Macaca fascicularis: one gene and its partners. The protein of the gene in region 6 interacts with the protein of the main gene of each other region in a pairwise test. Links are inferred from orthologs where the notes say so. Each region holds a gene or a part of one and is shown on either strand. Other genes may lie near its edges.

Region 1 (4,219 bases), about 26 Mb from region 6:
ACTATAAAACTGACCACACTGTGCACGGTGGTACAAGTTTTGGAACTGAAGGCGCTTAACTTATTTTAAACCTATACTGTTGTAGGTTCGGTATCCAAACACAAGGTTCACACAACTCATTTGTTGAGTGTCTTAAATACAGACTTAGAAGTAAAAAAAATTAAAAAGTTTCATCTCACCTGAGAGTTCATTTGTTAAGTTAAAGGGATTATTCCTGTGAAATCATCTTAAAGGTTTACAGTAAAGAATAAAATTCTAAGCTCCCAATCATAAGAAGTATTAAGAACTTCACAGGCATAGTTACTGGCATAAAGGTACAGATTCAATAATTTTAAGTTTCCTCTAAATTCGGCCAGTTACCCATTTCTAGGGATCTGCCTTCATCAGGTTACATGTAAATATCCATTTTAAACAGAGATAATTGCTCCATGAATATACTAATTAAAGGTAGATTGTGAATAATATGACTGTTCAGCTCCATTTCTATCGCCAAGTTAGGTATCAGAAAGAACATCACACCCTATAGAGTCTGAACTAGATTGAAGATTTTGGATCGAAACATACAGAATAATTTCCTGGCATCCCCCTTTGTAAATCCATGGCAATTTCAACACTGGGAACTCTTCAGCCTCGTTTTTCTTAACAGAACATGACAAATAAGTATTGAGTGCCTGACAATGAGTACAAAAATGAGTAAGAGTCAGCAGCTATGCTCAAGAAGTGCAGTATATACCACCCTTGGTGGCTCACGCCTGTAATCCCAGCACTTTGGGAGGCAGACGTAGGTGGATCACTTGAGCAGGAGTTTGAGACCAGCCTGGCCAACACAGTCAGACCCCCGTCTCTACAAAATATTCAAAAATTAGCCAGGCGTGGTGGCACGCGCCTGTGGTCCCAACAACTCGGGAGGCTAAGGAGCGGGGACTGCTTGAGCTTGGGAGGCAGAGGTTGCAGTGGACCGAGGTCGTGCCACTGCACTCCGGCCTGGGCAACAGAGCGAGACCCTGTCTCATTTAAAAAAAAAAAAAAAAGAAGAGAAGAAAAAGAAGTGCAGTATAGCAGAAAAACAACATTCTCCAAATATGTTGGATTGTCATCTGAAATAGCCGAACTTCCCAGATCATGATTCCAGTGGGGCAAATACTTCTTATACCCGTCAATTTTATTTCCCCAACTGGAACTCTTTAGAACTTGATGTGAAACAATGCAGGTATTGTGAATAGTTCACGGTTCTTAAACTTTAAAGATTCTTAATACAAAACATACAACTCAACATTAGAATAAATATACAGTATTTAAAGGAAAATTAAGAGTAAGGAAACATGTTACAGACCTAAGACCAAATTAAACTTTCTTTGAATCTCTTCAGGAACCTCAAACACCGATACAGAGAGATATTATTTAGGTCCTTGTTTGGGGATGTATAAGATTACGATGAAAGTGACTTTTATTTCATCCTCAAAAGGGCTGTTGAATAGTTGGAATGACTTCGTTAACTTAAAACATAGTTACGATTTCTTAATCGATTTACAGAAACAACAAACTACGGCATCGCAGAGAGCTTTTCACGTTTACGAGCTTCATTTCTTTGAGGGTAAAGACAAGTTCCAAAACGGCTTACTGATGCAATGCTTCGGAAAAATGTTATGTAATTAATATATTAAAACTATACAACTTAATGGTAAGGAGACATTTCATAAAAATTTAAACAGTCGGTCCAAAATAATTCCTGATTTTACCTAAGAGGCAAACGATGACAGACCGAACATTAACTTTGCCAATCACCTGAAAGGAGCAGCGTGGTAAAACTACCCAGGACCGCATCAGCACTCAGGGGCAATAGTGAACCACTGAAGCAATAGCTCCACCTACTGATCCACCCTATACTTCCTTAAACATGTTGGCACCCCAAGTCTACAGCGATCGCGCTCTCTCCCCCTCCTCCACTCGCTGTGACCCAACCCAAATCTAGTTGAGTCACTAGCTCTTAATATTCATCCCCGTGCTCTTTATTCCAATTTCTTCTTCCTCCAGAAGGTTCTGCACAGCTCCCAAGCGTGAATAAAACTGAAAGGTGTCAAACACCGCAGTTCCAGAGTGGAGTCTGGAGGTGGAAGACAACCAAACCACTCCACCTGGAGCGGCGGGCCGGCGTGGCTCAGAGGTCCGCTCCCGGGAAGGAGGCCCCGGGCGCCTCATAATAGCCTTTCCATGTTGCCCCACTCAGCTGCTTCTCTCCACTCAACCCACAATCGTCCTCCGAACCGAAACCCTGAAGCCACCGGGTCTTGCCTCCGCTGGCCCTTCAGCCCGCCAACAGCCCAAGCCTCGCCTCCGCCCCCTCCGGGAACCGAGGAAACTGAGAAGGCGAGAAATCTCCCTCCGCCGGTCTTCGCCCTGAATCTCTCCTCGCCTTCGCAGCTCTCCCCCTCTACATGGGCCCGGGCCCTTCTACCCCGCCGGCCGGGCCCTGCCCGGCTGCCCTTCCTCACCCTTTCATCTTCCCCGCCTGCTGAGGCCGTCGTTACCACCGATATCAACGCCGTCGTAGTCGCCGCCCTCAGGTCTCCGCGCCCTCAGCTCGGGCCACTCAACCCCGCAAGCCGGCCTCCTAGCCTGGGCAGGGAGCTGGGCGAGCAACGAAGGCCGCGAGAGTCGAGTGAGGGCTTGAGTCTGGTGGGGGCGGGAGTGTCTCCCGCCGCCGTGCTGGTGCTGCCGCTACTCCACACGTGCACTCGGGTCTCTCAGCTCCCTCCCGCCGCTGCCGCCAGCCAGACCCGCTGCCGCGCTGTGACCTTTCACCCCGCCCCTCGCGCGCCGGCGCGTCAGCCGCCTCGCGCGCAGTCGTACTGCCAGCCTCCGCGCACCCTGCCCCCTCCACTCCGGAACGTCCATCTTTCTCCCGGACTGTGCCTTCTGGCGTCATGCTCCTCCTTCCCACCCCCTTACGACACTGCTTGTGGGGCTGGCTCGGTAAGCCCTGGCGGTAAAATCCAGATTTTTCCACCCCTCCCTCTTCTATCTCATATCCGCAAGATTGGTTTTCTCGGCCCTGTTCTTCCCGGTTTGTGGTCTCCAGAGTGACCTTCAAACGCACTTGCCTCCTAGTAGAGTTTTATAAAGCTGGTTCTTCCAAATGTAAAGAAATCTGTGTAAAGCTCAAGTAAGTTAGGTGTTTTAAAGCAAACGTGGTTAACAATCGGCCGGATAGATTGGCTACCCTCCAGCACGCCTCAAGTTTTGAGATCACGTGATTGGCCCAAACCTCAGAACCTGGAATTTTACCGGCGAACTCCAGAGGGACGGAACCCCACCGCCATTTCCTGTCCCTCGATCGTGGCGTGAACGTCACTTCCTTAGCAATGCGCTCTAACTCTTGCTGTCCACATTTTCCACATTGTACTTTACAACATAGTCCTTGTGAAAATTTATCTTTTATTTCTTTAATTCAAGAAGATTAATATTCAAGGGATACGTAAAAATACAAGCCCCCCGAGATGTAGCGCGCCGGGATGGGGGAGGCAGGGCGGAGCTCGACGTCACGTGACTGGTTGGGCCCGCCCCTCCCAACCCTGTGCAGCTGAGGACTTCCCCCCGTGGTGACAGAGCCTCTCGGTCCTCGGTCGGTACGGTCTCTGCACCTCGCGCCCCAGCAGGTGAGCGGCGGCCGGTAACTGGCGAGTGGTGGGGATAGAGGGGGTGGAAGGAGGCAGAGGGGAGAGAAGGGAGAGTGTGAACGGCGACCTCCCTGCCTGAGGCTTCCTCCCCGCTGTCACCCTGCACCGGCAAGGAGCTCCTTTCTCTTTAACCCCCGCTCCCCCAAGTGTGGTCGTTCCCGCTCCTTGGGGTTTGAGATGTCCACCTTTCCCAGGGTTGGAAGTGAGTGCGGCCATTATGGTTCCCTACTCAGAGCCTTTGGGGCTTCGGGTAGCAGATCGTTTCAGCCATTTCACAGGGTCTGCAGTAGACATTAGGTCCCATTCCTTAAAGCCCGTTCTTTGGCCAGGGTCCTCACTGTCCTTGCCCTCAGCTCAGGGCTGAGGAGCGGGGAGGTAGCAAAAACCCTGGAGGCAGAGGCGTCTCCAGTGAGACAGGCTTGGGAGGGACTGTCACTGATACGGCCTTCACTGCAGAGTCACTGAGAAGCTTCCCTCCGAAGGTGCTTTCTCAGTAATTCTAAGGGTTTTATCTGACAGACCTGCAGGGAAGGTTCCGGAGA
Region 2 (3,935 bases), on a different chromosome or scaffold from region 6:
GCTGTGTCCCAAACCGTGTGGGTAGGAACAGGAGCTTCCTCTGCGGGGGTTTGAAAGAGTGCACCTGTGAGGACACTGAAACCCAGCAGGAGAATCATGAAGACAGGAACCAGGAGTCTCATTGTGAGATGCAGTGAGTCCCACCAGCGCAGCAGTGCTGTGCATGTCAGGAGGTTTTGCCCCTCCCACTTCACTTGTTGGATGGCTCTGAGCAGGTTACTGAACCTGTCTGTGCCTCGGTTTCCTTCTCTATAACATATGGTTAATACTCATTTGACCGGGCTTCCGTGTGGATTAAAGGAGATACGTATCCAGGGCCCAGCACGTAGCAAGTGCTGTAAGCAGTGGCGCTCACAGGCTGCCAGGACAGGAAGGACCCTCAGAGGTCTGTCCCAAACTGTGGGTAGGAGCGAAAGCTTCCTCTGTGGGGGGTCAAAAGAGTGCACCTGTGAGACGCAACCTTCAGAACCCCCAGGAGCCTGAGATGGACAGGGGATCTGCACTGCTGGATGGGGCAGAGAGGCAGGCGCTGGCGCGGCAGGGGCCTGGGGGGTTGGGCAGGTGCCGGTGAGAGAAAAGCTAAGGGGCGCAGGATGGGGTGTGAGCTGGAGGGCAGGGGGTAGTCAGGGCTGACTGGGAGAGGGGCCTGCATCCCGAGGGAACGCCAGCACCAGGTGCCAAGGCCCGGGCAGCCATGGGAATGGGTGGAACCAAAGTCAATGGCAGTCAGAGAGCTTTGTAGTTGAGATGTTTGGTAGAGCAACCTCCTGAATATTTAAGTAAACTTGAAGTAGAACATACTTAAAGTGCACAAATTGGTAGCTTGAATTCCCACCCCCTCTCCCACATAAGAGGTGGGCTTGTCCAAGACTCCAAGGGACAGAAGGGGAAATCGCTGGTGCCCAGCCAGTCGGTGACAGAGCAGGGATTAGAGCTGGACCCCTGAGGCTAAGCCCCATGCTCTCTTCCCCAAACCCTGGGGCCTCAGTCAGCCTCTGGTAATCCCTTCTGTGCCCAGGGCACCAGAGCTGACGTTTCCCTTCAGCAAGGCAGGGGCAGAGGCTGCCAGAGCCCTGCTGGCGTCATCCTGCCTGGGATAGCTTGAGAGGTGGGGTGGGGGGGATTAGAAACCTCTGAGAACAGCACCACAGGCTGCCCTGGTAACATCTGCTACTACAGCCTTGTAGCCAGGAGTCCTGGATTTTCCTGGTTCCTGTGCCCGCGGACAGGTCCCCAGGGCCACTGGCTTTGTGGAGGGAACACGGTGCCCTCTCCACAGCCCAGGTAGGTGGAACCCCAGCTCCTGGCTCTCAGCCTTCAGGAACAGGAGCTTCCCTGCTTGGAGCTTCTAGACATGGAGGGAAACATGGAAGTCATGGAGTTTATTAAGTGTCTTGGAAGGTGGAGGGAGGGATGGCCTCCTCTAAGAACTGCAAATTTGCAGGGTGTCTTGGGAGACAAGAGTGCCCAGAGAGGCATGTCCGATGAGCTGGACGTGTGGGGCAGGGGGTATCCTATGCATCCTCCTTGCCTGTTCCTCCCCATCCCCCAGGCCCTCTGCAGCCCCCGGCTCCCTCTAACCTACCCACCCCCCACCACAAATCCTGCATATGTGTGGCCCAGTCTGAGGCCATCTGGATAGAAATAGAGGCTCCCTAAGGGGATTAAGGGGCTTTTTCTCTAGGACCAAGGGCTGAGACTACCTAAAAAGCTCTCCGCCACAGGATCTTGCACCCAGAAAACCAGAAGCCTCCCTCTGGGGAGGTAAGATAAACCACATGAATGGTGGTGTGGGGGACCCGGGGGCCCACCCACTGCACAGTTGCATTAGATGTGGTCAGTGGAGGGTCAGGAGTCCTGCCTCCCCGCTGTGGGCAGCAGGGTTGGGGTGCCCCAGGCTCCATGGAGCCCTGCTCATCCCTGCCACCATTTCTGGGGCTCAGAAGCACCCAGAAGGCACCTGAGACCAGTGTCTGCAGGTCTGCAAGGGGACAGACCTCCAGGGATCCTTCTGGCTGCGAGGGAAAGGTGGGGAGACAGTGCCAATGTTTGTAGTGCCTGGTAACAGCCTTGAAGACCAGGTACCCGGGGAATGTGCCCATTGATTTGGGGGCTGGCTCCACCCAGTTCCTGCTATAAAAGAGGCCAGATGCACAGTGTGGGGCCAGACTCCCTGGAGATGAGGATCAGACCCCTGCCCCTTGCTGTTCTCCAACAGGTGCTGGGAGGCCCTCCGTGGCTTAGGAGGCCACTTCCAAAGGTGGGGTGCCCCAGGGAGGCACCAGTGGCCAGGATGTCCACACAGAGCACCCACCCCCCGAAACCCGAGGCCCCGCGTCTGCCGCCTGCGATCTCAAGCTGTCAGCGGCGCCACACGCTCCCTGCCAGCGAGTTTCGCTGCCTCACCCCGGAGGACGCCGTCAGCGCCTTTGAGATCGAGCGTGAAGGTGAGTGGCCCCGCACAGGGTCAGAGGGAAGCTCCACTCCGGTCCAGTTATCCTGTGGGGAGGAGACCCTTGAGTCTCCTGTCTTGGAGGCTGGGTCCCAGAGTATCAGACCATGTGTGCGCTCAAGAAAGTGGAGGAAACAGCAGCCCTAAACCCCATTTTCTTGGGGGGAATGGGGCATTTGAGTAGACACTCGGGGTGCAGCAGACAGTGGACGTGAGGCACAGCGACTACCAGTTGCCCACCTGAGCCTCCTGCCACAGCCTTCATCTCCGTCTTGGGTGTCTGCCCCCTGTACCTGGATGAGATCCGGCACTTCCTGACCCTGTGTCCGGAGCTGTCCCTGGGCTGGTTCGAGGAGGGCTGTCTTGTGGCCTTCATCATCGGCTCACTCTGGGACAAGGACAGACTCATGCAGGTGAGGACGGGGCTGTGACGCCCAGCTCCAGGGAGGCCTCTGAAGACAGAGGTCAGCCAGACGGTGGGGAGGGGAGCCCAGGGGCTGGGATTTCTTCCTCCAGAACTGGAGAGATGAGTATAGGCCACAGCCCCCTCCCAGGGCAAGGCGTTCTGGGTTTTCAAGTTTTCTCCATGGGGATGGGGGTATGGCTCAAAATTTGGGGCCCTCCTCGGCTGGGGCGGGAGCCCTGACCACAGGCACCGAGGGGACACCTGCTCCCTGCCTGGGTCGGTGGCTGGGGAGGAGCACGCATCAGCAGAAGTGACCTGGGCTCTCGTCCCTTGCTCACCTCCAGGAGTCACTGACGATGCACAGGCCTGGGGGCCACATAGCCCACCTGCACGTGCTGGCCGTGCACTGCGCCTTCCGGCAGCAGGGCAGGGGCCCCATCCTGCTGTGGCGCTACCTGCACCACCTGGGCAGCCAGCCGGCTGTGCACCGGGCCGCGCTCATGTGCGAGGACGCGCTGGTACCCTTCTATGAGAGGTTCGGCTTCCACGCCATGGGCCCCTGCGCCATCACCGTGGGCTCCCTCAGCTTCACGGAGCTCCACTGCTCCCTGCAGGGCCACCCCTTCCGGCGCAGGAACAGCGGCTGCTGAACTGGGCTGCCCACCTGGCTGCCAACGTGATCCCCGTCTCTGCCCTGGGCCCCTTAGCTCAGCTGAGCATGGAGACAGCAGTTTCCAGAGTGGAGAGAGCAGGGCTAAATAAAGAGGAGATGGGGTGGCTTCTCACAGCCCGAGCTGGAGTGGTGTGTCCTGTCTGTTCCCACGAGGCCTCTGGACCTCCTGTGTTCTGAACTCTGTACCTGAGACTGGGCTGGGTTGGTAAGTGGGGACAATGGGAGGCGCTGTGGGTTCCCTGGCTCCTTTCCTCCTCCTGGCAGGTGGGCAAAGGCGCCAAGGCAGCATCCTGACAGGAGCCCATTGCTCAAGGGGGGTCCTTATTCTCCCCAGCCTCGTGGATGCCCTTTCTCACTCTTTTTTTTTTTTTTTTTTTGAGACGGAGTCTCGCTGTGTCCCCCAG
Region 3 (4,155 bases), on a different chromosome or scaffold from region 6:
AGCTCCTCCATTGGCCAGGGCTGTGCATCTCCTTGGAGGTCTTGAGCTCCACATAGCAGGTGGGGGGCTGTGTGGATGGGGTCTGGGGGTCTGTGCAGTCTACCTCCCCTGAGAAGAGCAGAGGGTGGCTTCCCAGGCGGCTGCGTAGCACAGAGCAGAAGGCCACGTTGGTGTTAACCTCCCCAGAGGGGTCTGGGGAGCTTCCAGGTTTGTCTGCACAAGGAGAGAAGCAGCAGCAGGGGTGGGGGGCTCTCAATCTCTGGGAAGGGGAAGGGGGCTATGAAGCAGGGGTAACTCACCTGCACACATATACTGCTCAAATTTGTATCCCATGTACATAAGCTCCCGGAGGAGCGGTGGCCGAGCAAGCCTCTGGGCCCGGGCTTTTGGCGTCTCCACCTCACTCAGGTATAGTGTTCCCTGGAACCGAGAGGCTGCCAGCTGCCAACCCTCCTGCCGCTCATACGGTGTCGTCAGCAATTTTGTCAGGTGCCCCCGCCATGTCACTATGGCCTCTGCCAGCCAGCCTGGACCCCTGAGAGGCAGGAGTTACAGGCTGAAGGTCTGACACAAGCATTAGTGAGATGCTCCCCTCGAAGAATAGTCTTTCTTCTAAGGACTGATTCTCACCCCGGCTGTGGCTCTCCTAATTTTAGAGGGTAGGTACGGGTCTCCAGATACACTGCCTGCCACGCTTTGCTCACCCCTCCAATCGGCCTCGGTGTTCCAGGAGCCAGCATAGCAGGTGGTCCAGCCTTTCTTGGACCTCCTCGTCCCGGGGCTGGTATCGATCCGGGTATCCGTCTCTGAGGTCAAAGTTGGGGCCTGGACCGTTAGTGGGGGGTGGGCTATAGTAGCGCAGGGCTCGGGCATCTCCATGGTACTGGCGTTGAGCATCCAGGGAGAAGCAGCCCAGTTCCGAAGGGCGCCGGTAGAAAGGAAAGGGCCCAGAGTAGAGGGCAGGGTCTGTGGGCAGAGAAGGTGCTGGACGGGGTAGTTTGTTCCGAGGCTCAGCTACCTCTGTCTTCTCAGCTCCTCTCTTGGTCCCCCTGGGATCCATGAGGTCCTAAGGGAAGCAGGCGGACAGAGTTTCCATTTTACAGAGGAGGCCTGGAGAAGGATGACTGGTTTAGGACTAAGCGAGCCACCTGATCGCCAGGTTCTGGCCTTGAAACATTCAGGCCCCTCAGACGCCACCGCGGCCAAGCTCTCATCCTGCCTTTTTGCTTGCCCTTCACCCACCCTCCCTCCAGGTCCTCCAAATGCAGTGAGGTTAGGAGGGACGCCTGCGCTCAGATCAAGAATCCAGTTACCTCAAAGCTCCCCAACTTCCACCTCCGCAGGGCTATGACGTCATGGCAGGCACACCAGAGGCCGAAGGATGCAAAAGTGGTTTTTCTGCTTTCGATGATGCAATCATTCAGCGACAGTGGCGGGCAAACCCCTCCCGGGGCCGGGGAGGTGTGAGCTTTACGAAGGAGGCTGATCCCAACGTGGCCACCGGCGCCCCTCCACGCCGCCCACGAGTCCCCAGGCGTGCGTGCCCTTGGAGGGAGCCAATCCGCGGTCGGCGTGAGGCCCGGCCCGGCGGACGTGGTGCGGGTATCTGCGTCGCCACCGCCCTTCCCAACACTGACTGGCCTGAGGGATGACAAGTTGACGCCCTTTTCGTCATCACCTGGTCTAGGAGGGACGCCCGGGGAGACCGTACGTCACTGTTCTGCGCCGGAAGACCCTATTTTCAGGTTCTCTTCCCTCCATTCCTACCTCTTCCCCGGTACCATAAAATCCCGGGATATGAGCCGAAAAAGGCATCACCTGGTCCCGGAGACCTTTGGAGTTAAGAGGCGGCGGAAGCGAGGGCTTGTGGAGTCGGATCCTCCTCGTGGCGAGCCAGGTAACCATGGCAACCCCGGGGCGGGGCTAAAGACCCCAGCTGGGTGGGGCCTCGCTTCCGGTAGCCGAGAGTTTTGTTGGAACCGCGTCCCCGCCCCAGTTCCCTGTCTCTGACCCGGTTTCTCGGTCCAGGGTCGGCGCGCGCGGCTGTCTCAGAGCTCATGCAGCTGTTCCCGCGAGGTCTGTTTGAGGACGCTCTGCCGCCCATCGTGCTGAGGAGCCAGGTGTACAGCCTCGTGCCTGACAGGACCGTGGCCGACCGGCAGCTGGTGAGGGGCGTCGGTGCGACCGCCGGAGGCCCCTTTCCTGACTCCTAAAATTTCCTGTCCCTCAGTCACTCCGCCAGCTGTTCAGCAAGCATTAGGCCTTTCAGGGGAGGGCACTGTTCCGGGCACTGGGGTGCCACAGAGACCCTGTTAAATGGGTCGCAGGCAGTACAGGGCATTTCAACCATGGAGGGAGAAGAACGAGGCTTTTGGGGAAACCGAGTCATGGGGCATGGTTCGAACATAGAGCACTGGGAGTGCAGACAGACGTCAGATCATGACAGGCCTTGTACATCAGTGTTGTTTCCATCTTACACTGAGGCGATGGGCTGGTAGAGAATGTCATAGAGAGAGGGAATGGTGTATTGGAGGTAGTGGATGAGGCAGGGAGGTCAGCTAAGAAGACACTGCATCTGAGAAGTGGTGAAGGCCTAAATTAGGTCAGTGCAGTACGGAGGGAGAGGAGAGTGAGAAAGGGAGGAGTCCAGGAAAACTCAGACTTTCCGGATGACTGCGTGGCTGGTGGTATTAGGAGCACATTTAGTTGTTGGACTACGGATAATGTGTTTAATTTTGTACAAGTTGAGTTGATGGTGCATGTGGAGCATCCAAAGACAAACGTATTAGACAAGTGGATATTAGAGTTGGAGAGAATTCTGGCCAGTGATAATAGAATTACAAGTCATGGAGGTGTGAATAGCAAGTGGTTAATTCTGTGGATGTGGTGAGATCCAGTAGGAAGAGTGGGTAGAGGAGTGATTTCTAACCTTTTTATAATCTTTAGAAGGTGATAAAAGTTATGGCTATTTCTCTCCAGAAAAATGCACGTATGCCACATATACATAGGATGTATGTACAGTTGGGGGGAAATACTTCACTAATCTTCTGAGGTCCATGGTTAAGGACTCCAAGTTTAGAGTGGAAGTTGATAGGGTCAAATCCACAATGCTGGGAAACACTGTCATTTAAGGCAGTGTTACTGAATGTATGAGCTGAGTTATGCCTGTGTCAAAATTACATGGGCTGTTTATTTAAAAAATACAGGTTCCTGGGACTCATCCAAAGTTAATGAGTTACAATCTCTTGGGGTGGGATTTGGGACTCTACACTTTTGAACTGCCTCAAGTCCTTTTTAAGTGTGCCTTAAAATTTGAGATCCACTGACATAAAGGGAAAGCAGAAGAAGAGGAATCTGTGGCAGAGGCAGAGAAGGAATTGCCTGAGTTAAGAGGAACCCAGAGGCCGGGGCGGTGGCTCACGCCCGTAATCCCAGCACTTTGGGAGGCCGAGGTGAGTGGATCTCTTGAGCTCATGAGTTTGAGACCAGCATAGGCAACATGACAAAACCCCATCTCTACAAAAAAAATACAAAAATTAGCCAGGCATGGTGGTACGCACCTGGGGAGGCTGAGGTGGGAGGATTGCTTCAGCTGGGGAGGTGAGCTGAGATAGCACCACTGCACCCCAGCCTGGGTGATAGAGCTAGACCTTGTCTCAAAAAAAAAAAAAAAAAAAAAAAAGGTAACCCAGGAAGAGGCCTATTGTAAAAGTAAAGAGATTTTTGAGAAAGTGAAGTAGTTGGCAGTATTAGAACCTGTGATTCAAGACAGTGGTCTAAGAAGAGGGAAGAGGTAAAGTAAAATATAAACTGAAATCTAGGCTGAGTGTGGTGGCTCATGCCTGTAATCCCACCACTTTGGGAGACTGAGGCAGGAGTATAGCTTGAAACCAAAAGTTTGAGACCAGTCTGGGCAACAAAGTGAGACCCCGTCTTTACTAAATAACTGAGACCCCATCTCTACTAAATAAATAAAATAAATTGAAACACAAAAATTCTTAGCTGGGCATGGTGGTATGCACCTGTTGTTCTAGCTGTTTAGAAAGTTGAGGCAGAAGGATTGCTTGAGCCCAAGAATTTGAGGCTGCAGTGAGCTATGATTGCACGACTGCACTTTAGCCTGGGTGACAGAGTGAGACCCTGTCTCTAAAAAAA
Region 4 (4,193 bases), on a different chromosome or scaffold from region 6:
CGGTAATCCCAGCACTTTGAGAAGCTGAGGCAGGAGAATTGCTTGAGCCCAAGAGTTCAAGACCAGCCTAGGTAACAAAGCAAGACCCCGTCTCTACAAAAAATAAAAAAAGATTAGCTGGACATGGTGGTGTGCTTCTGTAGTCCAGCTACTCAAAAGACTGAGGCAGGAGGATCACTTGAGCTTAGGAGTTTGAGGTTATAGTGAACTATTATCATGCCACTGCACTCCAGCCTGGATAACAGAGTGAAATCCCGTCTAAAAAAAAAAAGGAACTACAAAGGTGAACTAGAGATCATTTTGAACTAAATTAGAATCAATACACAAAAATATCAAAATACAAAATATAAAGATTGGTGGGATGCAGGTAAAGCAGTGCTTAGTGGGAAACGTGAGTCAAATTGTTGAAATAAATTGTAAAAATACCAGCAAAACTAAGGACCTTACTGCTAGTTTCCTTCTTTGCTCTGACCACATTTTGGTCATTTATTCATTTAACAAGCATTGATAAACACATATTTTATGCCAGGCTCTTAAGTGTTTAAATGCCATTTTTAGCTCTAGGCTGTGGGATCCTAGTATAATGTCTCTGGGTGTAGCATAGTATTTGGGACATGGTAGGTGTTCAGTATATACTTGTGGAATGACTAAAAATAGCCACAAGAGATCGTCCCCTGTGGTGAGAATTGTGGTGCAGATTTGGGGGCCAGGAGAACTTTCTGGAGGTAGTGGCAATAAATAATTCAATTCTAAACTTGTTCTGAAGGTATTTAACCAGAGTACGGATTTTTATTACTGAAACATTTTTTTCAGTTTTCATTTTCTTCTTTTTCTTGGGGAGTATGTAAAATAATGCAAGAGTGCTTTCTAAATAAGTCCACCTCTATTCTTTGGACATTGGAATATGGTATGTAACTCTGGATACGATTTCAAAGCAAAAATGATTTAGATTTAAGATGTTTTAAAAAAGCTTGAAATTGAAGTACACCGCTAATACAAATGAACTTTTTAAAAGTGGTGTGCCAGAAAACAGTAAATCAGTTTGGAAAATATGTAACTGTAGACGTCCAAGACAGAGAAAATGAGGCCTGAGTTAAGGGATTAAGATGAACGGAGATATTCCTAAGGCGAATCAACAAGGAGAGGTGGCGAATTGTACATGAAGGATTTGGCAGAGATACTGCGGTTCCTGGCACGACTAGAATTAGGATTTGTAAAAAGTTAGTGATTCTCTCTCCCAGCCGGTTTACATCACAATGTATGTGTTCATCTATTGAGGGAGTCAATGAGATAGAGCATTGCAGAGCTTGCTAGAGAGGCACAGGAAGTTGCCTGAAGTGAAGGAGGGGGCGGCGGCTGCAGAAGCTAAAGCTTCCGCCAAACAAAAGAGGACAGCACTTCCGGTCACGCCATCGTCGCTGCCTTCTTCGTCAAGGTGAGTGTAAAGAAGGGGACTTGGTAATTCTCACAAATAAATCCCCATACACTCCAGGGAAACCTCCTTTTGTGCCTCAACGTGGGGTGGAAAGGAGAATTCATCCCCGCGAACGTTGTATGATGGATGCTTCTGGCGCCTGTGGTTCTGATCTCACCGTCTCCTCCCTTCTCCTCAGGAGATGGGGAGCCCGCACCTGCCCCACCTCCTGACTCTTGTGGTCCTTTTATCCGCTTGACTCCCGGTCATGCTTCACCTCTCCTCTTTATCCCGGATCCTCTTCTCTGATCTGAGCCAGGGTCATTCCCTCTACCACAGGTCACTTCTACCTCCTACCTCTCACCTCCGCCTTCTGCCCCCCATCCTTTTAACCTGCGACTCTTTGCAAGCCCTTTCCTACACTGCTTTACTCCCCCTGCTGGCCTTTGGTCTTTCCTATTCCCCTCCCGCAGAGACCAATAAATTACGTACTTTGCAACAGTAGGTGTGACTTCAAGGTCAAGGCTTTTTTTTTTTTTTTTTTTTTTTGGTTCTTTTAAAGTATAAGCAAAGAAGCAGAAACCTTAGAGCCCTAAGAGACATAGGTACTTGTCCAAATTATGTTTTTTTATTTTTTTAACTCAACAAAATTACACATCATTTAGATACTATTGCACAGATTTCAGTCTTCTACATATTGCATTTATTTTTTTCTGTTGCTATAGAATTGAATCCTCAAATTCTGGGGGGCAGACATAGTGGATTATACCTATAACCTGGTGTCAGCTTCAGCGTAAGCTTTCCTATCCCCTGTAAAACTTCTCTTAGTGGAGGAATCACAAATTTATTACTTTATATGAGTTGAGTTTATTATGCAGTTTCTTTTCTGGTCTCTGATAGCAACATTAAACAGCAAGCTGACGTTTTTCAGACAAAGACTTTTTCTCAGAGCTTTGCAAGTATTACATAATCTATTTATTGCAATGTGAAATGTACTTTTACATTTGTGACCATGTCAAATTTATCTTGTGAGAACATTAGTTATTAAATAATAATCACAACTTATTATTGCCTTTACCAAATGATCATTAAATTGATGGTGAGAATCAGTGTTTTCCAGGCTCTATCAGGATCTAACGAAGAATTTAACCAAAGTTCTCTTTGAACAAGCAGTTGACTCCTTCCTGTGTGTTATGCTTGCCAAAATAAGGGGTGATTATCTTTTCTAGGCCATGTACAGTTTTTATTTAAGAATAAACAATGAGGCAGAGCTTTTGTGACACCACAACACTTAGGAACTTTTCCAAAGAGTATTGCTGATGTCTCTTTATACTCTATTTAAATCATTATTAGACAGCATTTAAATGTTATCATACTTGTTTCAGCCCACTGTGCATCCATCCATTCATTCAATAATTTTTTATTCAATAATTTTTATTTGCCAGACAGTGTTCTCAGCACTAAGGATACAACAGTGGATAACAAAAACAAAGTCTTTTAAACTTTAGCTGGGTGACAGACAATAACTTAATATATAATCAATATATATTGGCAAGTGCCACTGGTGTTAAATGAACAAAACAAAAAGATATGAAGAAATTAAAAAAAAAACAAAAAAAGATAAATATATAATAGGTTGTAATGTGGAGAGGCTCTGTTATTTTAGATAGGATGGGCAGGAAGGCTTCACTGGTAAGGTGATATTTGAGCAGGGACCTGAAGGAAGTGAGGGCACACAATATGCAGATATTAATGGGAAAACAAAATTTATGTCATAGTCTCTGCATTTGTTCACTCTGTTTCCTAACCCGCCCCCACTTTCCCATTCCCCTAGTGGTCACTTTTCTGCATAGTATTAATTCAATGCTCTGCATACTCAGATAACTTGATCCATTCACATACATTTCTCATATTCTCTTCTTTCTGGCTAGCTTCTTGCTACCATTTAGGCGACTTGTCAGCCTCTCTAGTAAGACATATCACTGTCTCCATACCCACCTCATCGTCAGTTTGTTGATTGCTGGCTCATTGTGTGCTAACCCATGGCATATATGATTATCTCTTTCGCTGCTCTTATCACTATGTGTTCATAATATGTTGTCCATAAATATTTGGTATGGTAAAGTGAAATGAACTCAGTACTTGTTTATAACAGATAAAACTTTTAAATATGGTTTTCTCCCTAATGTTCAAAACCATTCTCTAAGGTCAGTATTATCATTGTCATTTTACTGATGATAAAACCAAGACTAGGAGGTATGTAGTAACTTGCTAAACTGTGGTACAGTTTATGGAGTTAAGGTTTTTCAGACACTCAGTCCTGGTCTGGTTCTCTCTGTCTCTGTTTCTTAATGAGAAATAGAAAATATACAGAATATTTTATTATTTTATAAAACAATCTTGGTATAGAAGTTATATTTTTTGTGCTTCTTTTACAACTTAGATCATATCAGGTGCTTGATATGATATTAAGCTCTGAGAGGCATGGATAATGCCTCTTTTTACCAGAATATTTTTAAATAAAAAATTAAGCAGAAGTTGAAAGAAGAGTACAATGAAAACTTTTATATTCTGGACCTAGATTCAACAACTGTTAACCTTTGCCATATTATCTCACTCTCTCTATTACTCATTCTCTTTCTCCATCCATCCATCCATCCATCCATCCATCCGTCCATCGATTTATCCATCCATCCATCTATTTCTTGATCTATTTTGGCTGAACCATTTGACACTTGCAGACATTATTTTAAGTAAATGTAAATACATGCAGAAAAGT
Region 5 (4,244 bases), on a different chromosome or scaffold from region 6:
CCACATTTTCTTTATCCATTCATCCATTCTAGTGTCTTTGTTTTTGACTTATGGGTTTCTGGAAGAGACTGATGAGAAAATATATTTTCCATTAACCCAAGAGAAAAAGTGATCCTGAATGCTGGAATTTTTAAGGATGGTTTAGGTTCTAGAGACTAAAAGAGAAATCATAGAAAATGCAAAGGGAAATTAGATTTAAAAAAATTAGTGACCACATAAAGAATGTCTGCTATTATATCTTCTCTGAGCACGAGAAACTACTAAACTACTTTTAACCGAGCAATAAGGGCCCATAATAAAAAGCTGTTACCCTAGTTTTTTACTACCCTACTCAATACCCCTTCTTTCATACCCTCAAAATAGCTCAGTTGAGAAAAGAAACAGTCCAATTTTACAGAAGGGAAAAATAAATAGATAAAAGGATAAGCAAGAACTCTTTTTAACACGGAGTAAGGTACTGGTTAGAATTTTAATACTGTATGGAGGCGTCTAACCCCAGAGTAATCCCTGGCCCATTTTGGTGTTAGTAAGTGGATCCCAGTGTTCGTTTGTATTGAGGTAGTTTGAAGCACGCTAGGGATATTCATAGCCTTTACTTCAGTGCATTATTATGAAAGAATCTAAAGTATCTTTGCATTTACATGATTATGTTTTCAGTTGGTCTGCGGAGCTATTATTAAATGTGTCCATAATGTGTACAGAAAAATCTTCAAGTAAACTAGCATTTAACTCACCAACACATTAAACCCCCATACATAACTTCCTTTAAAAACGATCACACTAAAAATCCCAGCATTTAAAATCCTGAAGTTTTCGCTAAAATACGCTAAATATAGCTCGAAATAGTAAATAATCCCCCCAAGGCGACATTAGCAAATTAATTGGTGTGCGAACAAAGAACCCTTTCTGCAGCGGCATGAATGTTGCCTTTATTTTTTCTCACAAGTATGATTTTAGAAAACAGCAGTAGCGCATGTTGACAAATGACAAAGCGGCAGTCGTGGTAAAGCACTTTCGGTCAAAGCCAAGAGGGGGGAAAATCGGGTTGCTGGGGCGGCACTCGTGCTGGAATCCCTAGCTTCCCTAACCTCCTTTTTCCAGTCCGGAGTGAGCGGGGGCCCCATCGCCCCACCCCCCTTTCCTGGCTCTGGTTACGGCCTTGCGAGTTGAACAAACTTGCTGCAGGCGGATTGGCGGTCGGGAGCTCTCGGGCTGGGGCGTTGTATTTATTAATTTATATTCCGCGGCGCCCCGCGCGGGCCACTCCTTTGTGTCCGGCCGCCGCCGCGGGAGCTCCGGGGCCTCGGCGGGGAGCGCGTTCCCTGTGTCCGCCCGACCCCCGGGGCCGGCACGTGCTTCGCCCGGTCCGCCGAGGGGGCGGAGGCCCCGATCTCCCCGACCCCCCTTCTCTGCCTAGAGGAGGAGGAGCAGCGGCAGCAGCAGCAGCAGGAGGCGATAGCTGCCAGCCGAGGAGGCGCGGCGGAGAGGGGACTGCGGTCAGCTGCGTCCACTCGGGGCTGCGCGGCAGTCCCGCGCCCGGCGATGTTCCCGGGCAGTCTCTGAGTAGCAGCAGCTTGCCCCCCGCCCGCTAGCCCACCCTGGTGTCCGGCTCGCTTGCTGGCTGGCGCGGCCCCGGCCCCGCTCTGCGTCGGCCCCGCCGCGGTGGAGGCGCGCGAGAGGGACGCGGCCGGGGATGAGCGGATTGCGGGTGAACTCGCCGCCCGGGGGCCCCGCGAGGCCGTAAGCCGCTGCTTTTCTCCGAGTCGCCGCCCTGCCCTTGGATTTGAGATCATGTACGTACGCGCCGCCGTCCTGCCATTGTCTCTCTCCAGCGCGTGCCGTGCGCCCCAGGGACGGGGGCTGGTGCCCATCCTAGCCGCGCGCTGTCCCCCGCACTTCCTGTTCCGAAGAGAGACCCGCGCGCTGACCGTGCTTCCCTTCTCCCCTCGCCCCCTCTCTGTCCGTGCAGGTCCATCCACATCGTGGCGCTGGGGAACGAGGGGGACGCGTTCCACCAGGACAACCGGCCGTCGGGTCTCATCCGCACTTACCTGGGGAGAAGCCCTCTGGTCTCGGGGGACGAGAGCAGCTTGTTGCTGAACGCGGCCAGCACGGTCGCGCGTCCAGTGTTCACCGAGTATCAGGCCAGTGCGTTTGGGAATGTCAAACTGGTGGTCCACGACTGTCCCGTCTGGGTAAGGAACAGCAGCTGCTCCACGCCAAGGCTGAAGAAGCTTTTCTTTCCTTTTTTGCCCCCTCCCCCTTCTGCCCACTTCCGTGAGTGTGGAGTGTTCGCGTTACATGGGTCAAATTTTCAAACATTTTTGAGAAAATATTCGGTCCTTTGTTTCACTGGGCAGGGCACAGCCCCGTCAGAGAAGACTCTTAGGAAGATAGAAGGCCCCAGTGGGAATGTGGAGCACTTACTGGTACACTTCACGACTGTGGGTTGTCCCTTGGGAGGCAGCTGACAGTTGAATGTGCCAACTCCAAGGGACGGGGTCACTAAGTTTCACCAGCAGAAAGCAGTGTTTTTTTATGCCTACCCTATGGGTGATAGTGTAATATTGGTGTTCTAAAAATATAGCCTTCTCAAAGCTCAACACAGGCAAAAATACTTTTCATTGGGACAGTTCAGAAATAGTTCCTCTGGAAAGCGGAGGAAAAGACAGGGACTGGGAGTTAATTTTAAATGACTCATTTATAGCACTATTAATTGATCTCTGAAAACTTTTAATTTTAATAATGCAAATACTCTTTATGTATTAGCCATTTGTCTTAGTGACTCATAAATCAGAAATAATATTACTAATGTTGCTTGGAAAACTTAAAAAATTAAAATTTGTAATAATTGAACAAAATTGTAGTGAAGTGGATAAATTGTAGCCCGATTCTTGAGTGTTTGATTAAGGGAGAAAGGAATTTACTTTCTGACACATATAAGTATTTTCAGTATACAATAACATTATGTTTGAATGTTTTCCTTTGGTCTTATTTGAAAATCTCTGACTCTTTACTGATATTGGAGTTACGTATGTTTCAGCTAAGTTTACATTTAATAACAGAAGAAAGTTTAGTGCCTGAAAAAATACGAATTGTCATTGTGTGAGATTTCACATTTAAACAGCAATTTTAAAAACTGAATCAGGGCTATAGGAAACTATCATGCCTTTCTAAAAAATGTGTAGAGTGTACTTGGAAAAATTTTTTATGCAAAATTCCATGTAACAGAAAGAAGATCACTCGCTTGTGTAAGTTTTCAGTTAAAGAAGAAAGTTTGTTAATTTGGTAAAATAAAAAACAGACCTTTTCAGTTAAGAGATGCTATTAAACCCCTAGTTATGACAGTGATGACGCTGGTCATAAGAAGTGTGATGGAGAGCTTACTGACCAGAGTCTATGCAGGCAAATGAAACACTTCTTTTACTTGGACTCTTTCGTCGTGAAAGATCTTACAGCCTAAAAACATAACGGTTCAACATGCAGTTGAACAAATGTTTGGTGAATAGAGTAAACGTAGGGAAAATAAAATTAGCTACATTAGGATGTTAGGATTGCTTTCCCTATATTTAATTTGAGCTGTTAACACTTTCCTGTTTATATTGTTAATTTTGCAAACAGCAATGCTTGTGATCCCATACACTTTGTCTAGTAAAATGAAATCTTCCAAATGGAGAAAATAAGCCTCTATGGTACGGATTTTTCCCATATGCTGGTTGTTATGGTTTATTTTGCTAATCACTTTTTGTTTGGTTAGACTCTGGCCCTATTTAAGGCACCAAGTTTGTAACCCGGTACAATTTGCTGGGCTATAATGATCTTCAGATATGAGATTCCATTTCTAGAGTTGCTCTTTATAAGGTGCTTTTCTTCACTTGGTGGTAAGTAAAGCCCATCAGAGATACTAAAGCTGATTGCATTAATAAACTGTTATTTGATATATTACGGAATCAGAATATTACATAGAGCAGATAAAGCACAGCCTTTGATATCAAAAGGATCTGATTTCAGATTCTCACATTGCCATTTCAGGTCTGCGTGTCCTTGTTAAATCACTTACCTTCTCAGCCTTATTTTCCCTATCTATAAAATAATCTGCCTCCTAGAGCTGTGCTGAGAAGTGAATGAGAAACTAGCACGCATCACGTTCTAAGTATAGAGGCTGACATTTAGTAGCTGCTCTATAAGTGGTAGCTAATATAAAAATAAAGTGTTTGTTATAACTTTAGTATAGTTATGTATCA
Region 6 (4,067 bases):
CCTCCTGCCCTGGGTGCAGACCGCAAACAGCGCCGCCGAAGTTCCCAACAGGCAGGGAGAGGGCCGATCCGGGTTGGCACACCACGTCCCCGGGGTCTCAGTCCCTGGGTCAACGCAGAGGGGCTCGCGGTCCGCGGCGCTGCGACCTGAGCCCCGGCCACGTGAAGCGTCACGCCCTGCGCTGCTGCAGGGCAGGCGCCGCCGCCGCGGTTGTGTAACGCTGCAGCCGGAGGGGAGGCGACCCGGGCGCCTCTGCTCTGGAGGGGGCAGAGGAGGGAGGGAACACCGGGCACCGTGCCCGGTATCTTTCTGTGCTTGACTGGCCGGGAGGAAGGGGGTGACACTGGGGCACCCAGGGGGCTGCGCAACCAGGTGCCCGCCCGCCCGCAGGCTGTGCCCGGGAGCGGAGCTCCTGGGGAGCGAGGGGCCCTCGGCTCACACCCTCCTCGGTCAGGTGCGCGCGGCGTGCTCGGCGGCAGCCTCAGCTGCCCCTGCGCTTGGCTGTCTGCCCGCTTCCCATGGGGTGACATCCGCCCCGCCCCTCGGTCCCTCCCCAAGGCGGGCAATTCCTGGACGCGAGGGTGAGCAGTGGGGGCAGGGAAGCCAGGACGGAAAGAAACCCCAGCCTCTGGGGAAGGCTGGGGGGCCGGGCGACTCCCTCCGCTGAGCGCCGGTTCCTCCAAGCGGGCCGGGCGGGGGAGGAGGAAGAGGGCTGGGCTGGAGCTAGCAAGGGGATATTCCTCTCCCGGCTTGAGTCAGACGCGGGCGGATCCGTCCTCCCCCGTTCCCTCCCAGGAGACGGGAACTTACTTCATTTCCCTGGGGCAGGTTCGCCCACGTTACCAACTCTCCCCCTCCCCCAGCAGCCCCGTCCCTTTCAGCTTCCGCGCCCCCCACCCAACTGGGCAGGACCCAGGTTGCGCTGCCACCCCCTCTTCGGGGAAAGGCGGCCGCAGCCGCAGACACCTGGGGGCCGGGGCTGGGGGTGGGGGCTCCCTAGCAGCCGCCGGAGCGTTGTCCAACACGTGAGACTCATGTGATGAAGCCGGGGGAGGGCGGGCAGGTCGCTCCTTCCCTCCCCGGCAGTGGCCAGACGTGCCTGGAGTCACAGGGTAGAACACGTAGCTCCAACCCACCCACTCGCTCCCATTTAACCCAGCCCGCAGCCTCTCCATTACTCCTCGGCTTGTGCCCCCACCCCCCCTACTCCGCCCTAACCGCCCCCCCCCACCCGCTCCCTCCCGCCTCCCCGCCCGCCCCACTTCTCATTCACTTGGCTCGCACGGCGCAGACCGCGCAGGGAGCACACACCGCCAGTCTGTGCGCTGAGTTGGAGCCAGAGGCCGCGGGGACACCGGGCCATGCACGCCCCCAACTGAAGCTGCATCTCAAAGCCGAAGATTCCAGCAGCCCAGGGGATTTCAAAGAGCTCAGACTCAGAGGAACATCTGCGGAGAGACCCCCGAAGCCCGCTCCAGGACAGTCCTCATCCAGACGCTCCGCTAGAGCAGACAGGAGCGCGCAGTGGCCCCGGCTCGCCGCACCATGGAGCGGATCCCCAGCGCGCAACCACCCCCCGCCTGCCTGCCCAAAGCACCGGGACTGGAGCACGGAGACCTACCAGGGTAAGTTGGCACTCCTTGGCCCTTCAAGCCTCAACTCCAGCCCCATGTTATGCGCCACTCTCAACTTGGAGCAGCTCCGGGCGCACCGGGGGGTTCTTGCCCGGCAGAACGCCTGCAGCCGTGCGCAAGCAGTCACGACCCTTCCTGGTCTCTCTTCCTGCAGGATGGATTTTGCCCACATGTACCAAGTGTACAAGTCAAGACGGGGAATAAAGCGGAGCGAGGACAGCAAGGTAAGCAAGTGCACCCCTGGGGACCCTGCGCTCAGCCCCTCGCGCGCGCTGAGTTTCCAAGAAAAGTTTTCTCGCTTTGAGGTTGGCGAGGGTATGCAGGGTGTGGGCTCGGTGCCTCTTCTGAGTGACTTGGAAAAGAAGGGGCAGATGATGGTTCTGGGTGCTATTCTGCTCCTCTGCCGGACTCGTGCTGCGGGGCTGGGAGGATAGGCTTCTCATCTCCTTTCCCAAGCGCCCACCGCCTCCCCGTGCGTCTTGCAGGAGACCTACAAATTGCCGCACCGGCTCATCGAGAAAAAGAGACGTGACCGGATTAACGAGTGCATCGCCCAGCTGAAGGATCTCCTACCAGAACATCTCAAACTTACAGTAAGTGAGAAGCTGGCCCCTTTCCAACCCAGTCCTTTGCCCAGAGGGCGGGCGGGGGTCACTCGCCGCCTGCAGGTTCCGCGGGGAACTGCAGACCAGACGGGCGGATCAGAGCTGGCGGGTGGCTCTGTGGTGTGGTCCTCCTCCACAGTCCTTGCGTTTTCTGGCTGACTCATGCAAATGAGGCGAGAACCGCTTGGACCTCTCCAAGTTGGCTACAACACCAACTGGCCTTCCTTTTCAAGAGTTTAACTTCTGGTGATTTTCAGGATTCCCTAGTTTTTCTAACTTAAAGGAACACGCCAAGCAACACACACATTTACCCCTTTCCCTCCACCACTCCCCCCACCTTTTTTTTTGTTGTTAAATAAGTGGACTTGCTTTGGTGTGTGATTTTTACGGCCTGTCCTTTCTTGACAGTAGCCCTCAGCTACTTGGCAGCCTTTGGTTGGGGAAATGGAAAAAAAAAAAAAGTATTTTGGGAGGAACAAAAAAGCCTGAATGAGCTGGAAGTTCTGAAAGGGTGTAAGGAAAGAAGTAGGGAAAGCCTATTGGCTGCCAGACATAATAGAGGTCCCTCTCTGAGTTGACACCCCTGCAGAAAAATGTTATCTCTGGATTCCCCTGAGTTAAGGTCAGCAGAGGCTGCTGGAGAAATTTATCTGTCAAAGCGTTTTCCTGAGGTAGTTGCAGCTTCCAAAATGCCTCCAAAGAGAGATGGCACCCTTTTTTAAATTATTTAATCATATATATTTTATATATATGTGTGTTAGAACAGCCAACGAAGAAAGACTATCCACTTTTTTTTTTTTCTTTTAGAGACATTTCTCTTTGCTAAGAAATATCCCAAAGGTGGGACTTCTTTGACCTCACCGCTGACTAAGGCTCTTTTCCTTCTAGACTTTGGGTCACTTGGAAAAAGCAGTGGTTCTTGAACTTACCTTGAAGCATGTGAAAGCACTAACAAACCTAATTGATCAGCAGCAGCAGAAAATCATTGCCCTGCAGAGCGGTTTACAAGCTGGTGAGTGCTGATTCTGGCTCTCCTCTTTTTAAGAGTTTGAGCACAAATAGAGAGCCTGTGGGCTCAACATCTGATGGAATAAACATTACTGCAACAAACTGCTTATGCACCTTCATTGGGGGAGATGCAGTTTTATCTTTCCTAAAAGGTCAGACTTTTCATTTGAAATGCAGTGTGCCACCTGGCATGAATACGTATTAGTGAAATGATAAGATATTCCTGTGGCATTTTAGCTTGAGAGTCTCTGGGTTCTGGGAGATTTCCCTACTCCCTTTTAAAATGCCAAGGCACCTATAATTTGCCTTGTGGGTGTTTTACAGTTGGTCTTCTTAGCCCTCTTTCATTGGAGAAGAAATCGTGGGTATGCCCCAGTGTTTTCCTGTTTCTTTGCTTCCTTGTCACTTGGTGTGTGGTGTGATCCTGGCAGGATACAGCAGGAGTTTTTCCTGCATTTCATGTGGTTCCCTGAATAGCCACTAGGTATCATGGTAAATTGCACAATCTAGCGAAACCACTGAAGTTTCATCATTCGTTTCAACAGACTTCCAGATAATCGGAGTCACCTAACCTTCTAGTCTCACTTCTTCCAAATAATACTGTACTGACTGGGGAGAATTATTCTACCCACTCCCTCATTTCATTCTCTGCCTTCCTCTCCAAGGCTCGTATGATGAAAATTGCAAAAACCCAGCAAATGCTTCTGCCAGTTTCCTCATTAAAAATAGGAAGATGGTCATACCTAATGTCTTGAGGATCATGGATAGAATATGTGGAAAAGATATAGAAATAGAGAGCCTAATTAAAGATAACAGCATG
Region 7 (3,500 bases), on a different chromosome or scaffold from region 6:
TGTTGTACAACTGCAATTTAAGGAGTTAAGTTTTTTAAAAAGGGCAGTTGCTCTTTTAAAAATATTAATTATATATTTATTCTAAAAGTGTACAATTAAAAATTTTCCAATGGTTCTAAAATTATATAAAGCAATAAGACTACAACATTGACAAAATGTAATTTACATTAGTCTATTTAAGCTACTATTTCGTTGGTCAAAGAAAACGCATAGTTGGGTTTTAGCTCTAGCACCTAAATACACACAAAAAGGACCTTGAAGCAATGTGCATCTCATACCTTTAGTCTTAAAGGAGAAGTTACAGTAAGTGCAGTGGTAGGGGCGGACATCTGTATGGGTTCGTATGTGTTTCTTTAACATGCTAGGTTTCTTACAACGTATTCCACATTCTTCACAAATGTATTTTCCTCTTCCCCTGCCTCGGACATATACATACTCTTCATTTGACTTATATCTAATTTAAAGAAAAAAAAATGAATAGGGAGATTGGACACTATGTCTTTAAGAAAATAATGATGATTAAAACCAAAAATAAAACAAGGCACAACTTTTATACTCAACCAATAACAATTTTATGCATGTGTAAGTAACAGAATATTCCAACTTTTTACATCAATACTTAATACAGCTAATTCCAATCAAACAAACTTTTGCAATATTATACTTTGTTTTGTTTTTAGAGACAGTCTTGCTCCGATGCCCAGGCTGGAGCACAGTGGTGCAATCGTAGCTCACTGAAACCTCAACCTCCCGGGCACACATGATCCTCCCGCCTCAGCCTCCTGAACAGCTGGGACTACAGGCGCACACCACTGCACTCCACTACTGTATGTAATTTTAAAATACTTTCCTGTTTCTAAGTCATTGGTTAAATTTTTTCTTCATTGCTAGATTCAATCACAATAATTTTTAAGTACTGAAATATTTTGGAGCTTTACTATAACTATAATTGGCTTTTATGATGTTTTTGCTCACAACGAAATACACAAAGATATCAAATGGGCAATGAATTCATCTGAGAGCAGATTCTCTAGGTCATTCCTTATTGTAAATCAATGTGAAAACCAAGGTTCACTCTAATAATTTAGTTTTCAGCTGCCTTCAAGGTTGTATAGTACTTCCCAAATAGTCATCATTTCTCCATCAAAATAAAATTATTTAACATAATGCTAACATATTTTGCTATGGAGATTCTGTTAATATGCTAAGAAACCTTGCAACATTGATATTAAATTGGCGCTAAGTCTTCATTCACATGAAAGCAAATGTACATTTAAAAAGTAAGTTTAAATGTACATTTAAGAAGTAAAATTTGTACTTGCCCTCCATCAAATATTTTAATTCTTCTTGGTTCACTTTTGATTAAGGAATTTTCTTTATCTTGCTCACTGTTAATTTCAGAGGCATCTTTATTGCTGAATTCAACTACTGTGGACTTTTGATTACCTAATGCTCTCTGAAAGGAAAAAAGAGAGAAACTAATTTAATAAAACTGAAAACACAAACATGCTAATCTTTCACCGGAAATTAAAACACGGCAGAGTACAGAGCATATGGTCAACGAAATGCATTTCAAAGTAGTAATAGGTTCAAAGGGCATTTGCTTTATCTCCTCCCTTATGAATCTGTCTCAATCACAGCAAAATGATAAATCTTATGTTACTTTAAAATTCCACCACAGGTCACTGACACCCCCAACTAAAGGCTTTACAACCTCCTACACCATGGTATTTCATAAGTTTACCAGAAACTTTTTTTAGTAGACTAAATATTTTTTCTTCCATTTAACCAACCACTCATACTACCGTTTAAATACATTTCTTAAAAGAGTTTACTTTTGGAGATGGAAAAGAGCTAGTTACCCCTTTTGGTAAAATAATGCCTCATACCCCTTAGAAACATCACTAAGTCTCCTTCAGCTTCAGTGCAGTATAAAGTAAAGCAGAAGCCCCATTTCCCATTATTTTACTTTTTCTTCCTCCACTATTTTAAATCATAAATCTTTTTTGAGATTGGGTCTCATTATCGCCCAGGCTTGAGTGCAGTAGTACAACCATAGCTCACTGCAGCCTCAAACTCCTGGGCTCAAGAGGTCCTCCCACCTCAGCCTCCTGAGTAGCTAGGACCACAGGCGTGAGCCACCACACCTGACTACTTTTAAAATTTTGTAGAAATGGGGGTCTTGCTCTGTTGCACAGACTAGTTTTATACGCCTGACCTCAAGTGATCCTCCCACCTCAGCCACCCAAAGTGCTGGGATTATAGGCATGAGCCACAATGCCCAGCTAAAACCATAATTATTTCTATCTTCTCAAAAGTTTACTGAATACTGTTAAATGTGACATCCAGGTCTAGCCAAAAAGTTAGGTTTTGGCTTGATAACAATTAAGTCTCTGGAAAAAAAAGGTAATGAACATCAAAATCAAAATGATAAAACAATGTGTGGTTTTCCTACAGGAACAATATAATAATATCACCTTGTGATTTTATGTAAGATTTTATGCTACCACCCCTTACGGTACGTTGTCTCACTTATGGTGCCATTCTATTTTCTCGGGTCCCTGTGAGGCAGGCAGCACAGGTGGACTATATATCCCAGTGAGGAAGGGCACTCTCAGGGTGAAGTTCCTAGGGCAAGTGTTAGGCAAACACTCAAACTCTAATCATCTGGCTGAATCCAATGCAACGCACAACTTTTCCTACCCAGGGCTTCTTTTATGCAAACCTCTCTGAAGAAATTATATGGTCAAGCAGACAGCTGTGGTGCTGAAATGACTTAATAATACTAAGAGATAAGAGTCTATTCATTATGGAGAGGGGTCTGTGTGGCCTCAGAATAATACCTTGGGAGGCCCATCCTTACACAGGCAGGAGTAAAGAAAAGTTGCTGCTCCACATTCCTCAAAAAGGCAGTGGGAAGAGCTACTGATGCAACCTTTCCTTCTCTTTTCCTGGCAAACAGATTGGCTTCCGCATAATTTGGAATATATGCACACACCTTCCTTTGACTTTATCCCTTCAACAGTAACCCTCTTTATTTTCAATATCAAATTCCCCTTTATCTTTTGCTCACTTTCGTACTATTAAATCTGGCTTCTACTTGCCAAAGTTATCAACGAGCTAAATGCCAAAATCTTAGTCTTTACATGCTTTAGCACTCTATGGATTATATGTTGAAGATGCCATGTTTCACCTAGAAATCCTTTTACTTCATAGCATCTATCTGTTCTTTCCCATTGTGAATCATAAATGCATTAACATTTGGGTTGTAGATAAAAGTCCAGTAATCCATCCTCCATAGCCACTTGCTCATAGACTCAATTCTCCAGTGATCTGCACAGTCCAGATATACCCATTTGCCTTCAACTTTATTTGACCTAACAACTCTCCTTGAATATCTTCTTCCATGTTTTGTGTGATGCCACTTTCTGCTCATTCTTCTCCTTCCTCTATGATCAATCTCTTTCAGTTTCCACACCGGAGTGTGGACTTTCTTCATC

The links.
Region 1: the proteins of BHLHE40 (region 6) and NAA50 interact in binary tests that used the Homo sapiens proteins (3 or more experiments, as listed by UniProt). The two-hybrid records come from large-scale screens. The link is inferred for Macaca fascicularis from reciprocal best matches to the Homo sapiens genes BHLHE40 and NAA50.
Region 2: the proteins of BHLHE40 (region 6) and AANAT interact in binary tests that used the Homo sapiens proteins (3 or more experiments, as listed by UniProt). The two-hybrid records come from large-scale screens. The link is inferred for Macaca fascicularis from reciprocal best matches to the Homo sapiens genes BHLHE40 and AANAT.
Region 3: the proteins of BHLHE40 (region 6) and WHR1 interact in a two-hybrid assay, tested with the Homo sapiens proteins (2 studies listed by BioGRID). The two-hybrid records come from large-scale screens. The link is inferred for Macaca fascicularis from reciprocal best matches to the Homo sapiens genes BHLHE40 and WHR1.
Region 4: the proteins of BHLHE40 (region 6) and MAGED1 interact in binary tests that used the Homo sapiens proteins (3 or more experiments, as listed by UniProt). The two-hybrid records come from large-scale screens. The link is inferred for Macaca fascicularis from reciprocal best matches to the Homo sapiens genes BHLHE40 and MAGED1.
Region 5: the proteins of BHLHE40 (region 6) and RHOBTB3 interact in binary tests that used the Homo sapiens proteins (3 or more experiments, as listed by UniProt). The two-hybrid records come from large-scale screens. The link is inferred for Macaca fascicularis from reciprocal best matches to the Homo sapiens genes BHLHE40 and RHOBTB3.
Region 7: the proteins of BHLHE40 (region 6) and HIVEP1 interact in a two-hybrid assay, tested with the Homo sapiens proteins (2 studies listed by BioGRID and IntAct). The link is inferred for Macaca fascicularis from reciprocal best matches to the Homo sapiens genes BHLHE40 and HIVEP1.

The regions. Positions count from the first base shown.
Region 1 is NC_088376.1:169,422,714-169,426,932, reverse strand, and holds the start of NAA50 (N-alpha-acetyltransferase 50), read right to left. Parts: upstream 2,801-4,219; 5' UTR 2,501-2,800; coding exon of another isoform or gene 2,493-2,500; intron 1-2,492. UniProt on the Homo sapiens protein: N-alpha-acetyltransferase that acetylates the N-terminus of proteins that retain their initiating methionine. Has a broad substrate specificity: able to acetylate the initiator methionine of most peptides, except for those with a proline in second position.
Region 2 is NC_088390.1:82,916,278-82,920,212, forward strand, and holds AANAT (serotonin N-acetyltransferase), read left to right. Parts: upstream 1-1,135; 5' UTR 1,136-1,284; intron 1,285-2,218; 5' UTR 2,219-2,293; coding exon 2,294-2,447; intron 2,448-2,710; coding exon 2,711-2,865; intron 2,866-3,202; coding exon 3,203-3,508; 3' UTR 3,509-3,646; downstream 3,647-3,935. UniProt on the Homo sapiens protein: Controls the night/day rhythm of melatonin production in the pineal gland. Catalyzes the N-acetylation of serotonin into N-acetylserotonin, the penultimate step in the synthesis of melatonin.
Region 3 is NC_088378.1:139,734,294-139,738,448, reverse strand, and holds the start of WHR1 (inactive serine/threonine-protein kinase 19), read left to right. Parts: upstream 1-1,355; coding exon 1,356-1,602; exon of another isoform or gene 1,603-1,634; intron 1,635-1,687; coding exon 1,688-1,897; intron 1,898-2,028; coding exon 2,029-2,165; intron 2,166-4,155. Other genes in the region: DXO (decapping and exoribonuclease protein), read right to left, coding at 1-213, 300-535, 705-1,060. UniProt on the Homo sapiens protein: DNA-binding protein which is required for efficient transcription-coupled nucleotide excision repair (TC-NER). Acts as part of a TC-NER complex which assembles and interacts with RNA polymerase II (RNAPII) when it stalls at DNA lesions.
Region 4 is NC_088395.1:51,862,427-51,866,619, forward strand, and holds the start of MAGED1 (melanoma-associated antigen D1), read left to right. Parts: upstream 1-1,393; 5' UTR 1,394-1,435; intron 1,436-4,193. UniProt on the Homo sapiens protein: Involved in the apoptotic response after nerve growth factor (NGF) binding in neuronal cells. Inhibits cell cycle progression, and facilitates NGFR-mediated apoptosis. May act as a regulator of the function of DLX family members.
Region 5 is NC_088380.1:99,721,235-99,725,478, forward strand, and holds the start of RHOBTB3 (rho-related BTB domain-containing protein 3), read left to right. Parts: upstream 1-1,444; 5' UTR 1,445-1,791; coding exon 1,792-1,793; intron 1,794-1,969; coding exon 1,970-2,195; intron 2,196-4,244. UniProt on the Homo sapiens protein: Rab9-regulated ATPase required for endosome to Golgi transport. Involved in transport vesicle docking at the Golgi complex, possibly by participating in release M6PRBP1/TIP47 from vesicles to permit their efficient docking and fusion at the Golgi.
Region 6 is NC_088376.1:143,199,394-143,203,460, forward strand, and holds the start of BHLHE40 (class E basic helix-loop-helix protein 40), read left to right. Parts: upstream 1-1,267; 5' UTR 1,268-1,545; coding exon 1,546-1,625; intron 1,626-1,788; coding exon 1,789-1,858; intron 1,859-2,119; coding exon 2,120-2,227; intron 2,228-3,127; coding exon 3,128-3,251; intron 3,252-4,067. UniProt on the Homo sapiens protein: Transcriptional repressor involved in the regulation of the circadian rhythm by negatively regulating the activity of the clock genes and clock-controlled genes.
Region 7 is NC_088378.1:160,820,604-160,824,103, forward strand, and holds part of HIVEP1 (zinc finger protein 40), read right to left. Parts: intron 1,457-3,500; coding exon 1,323-1,456; intron 455-1,322; coding exon 279-454; intron 1-278.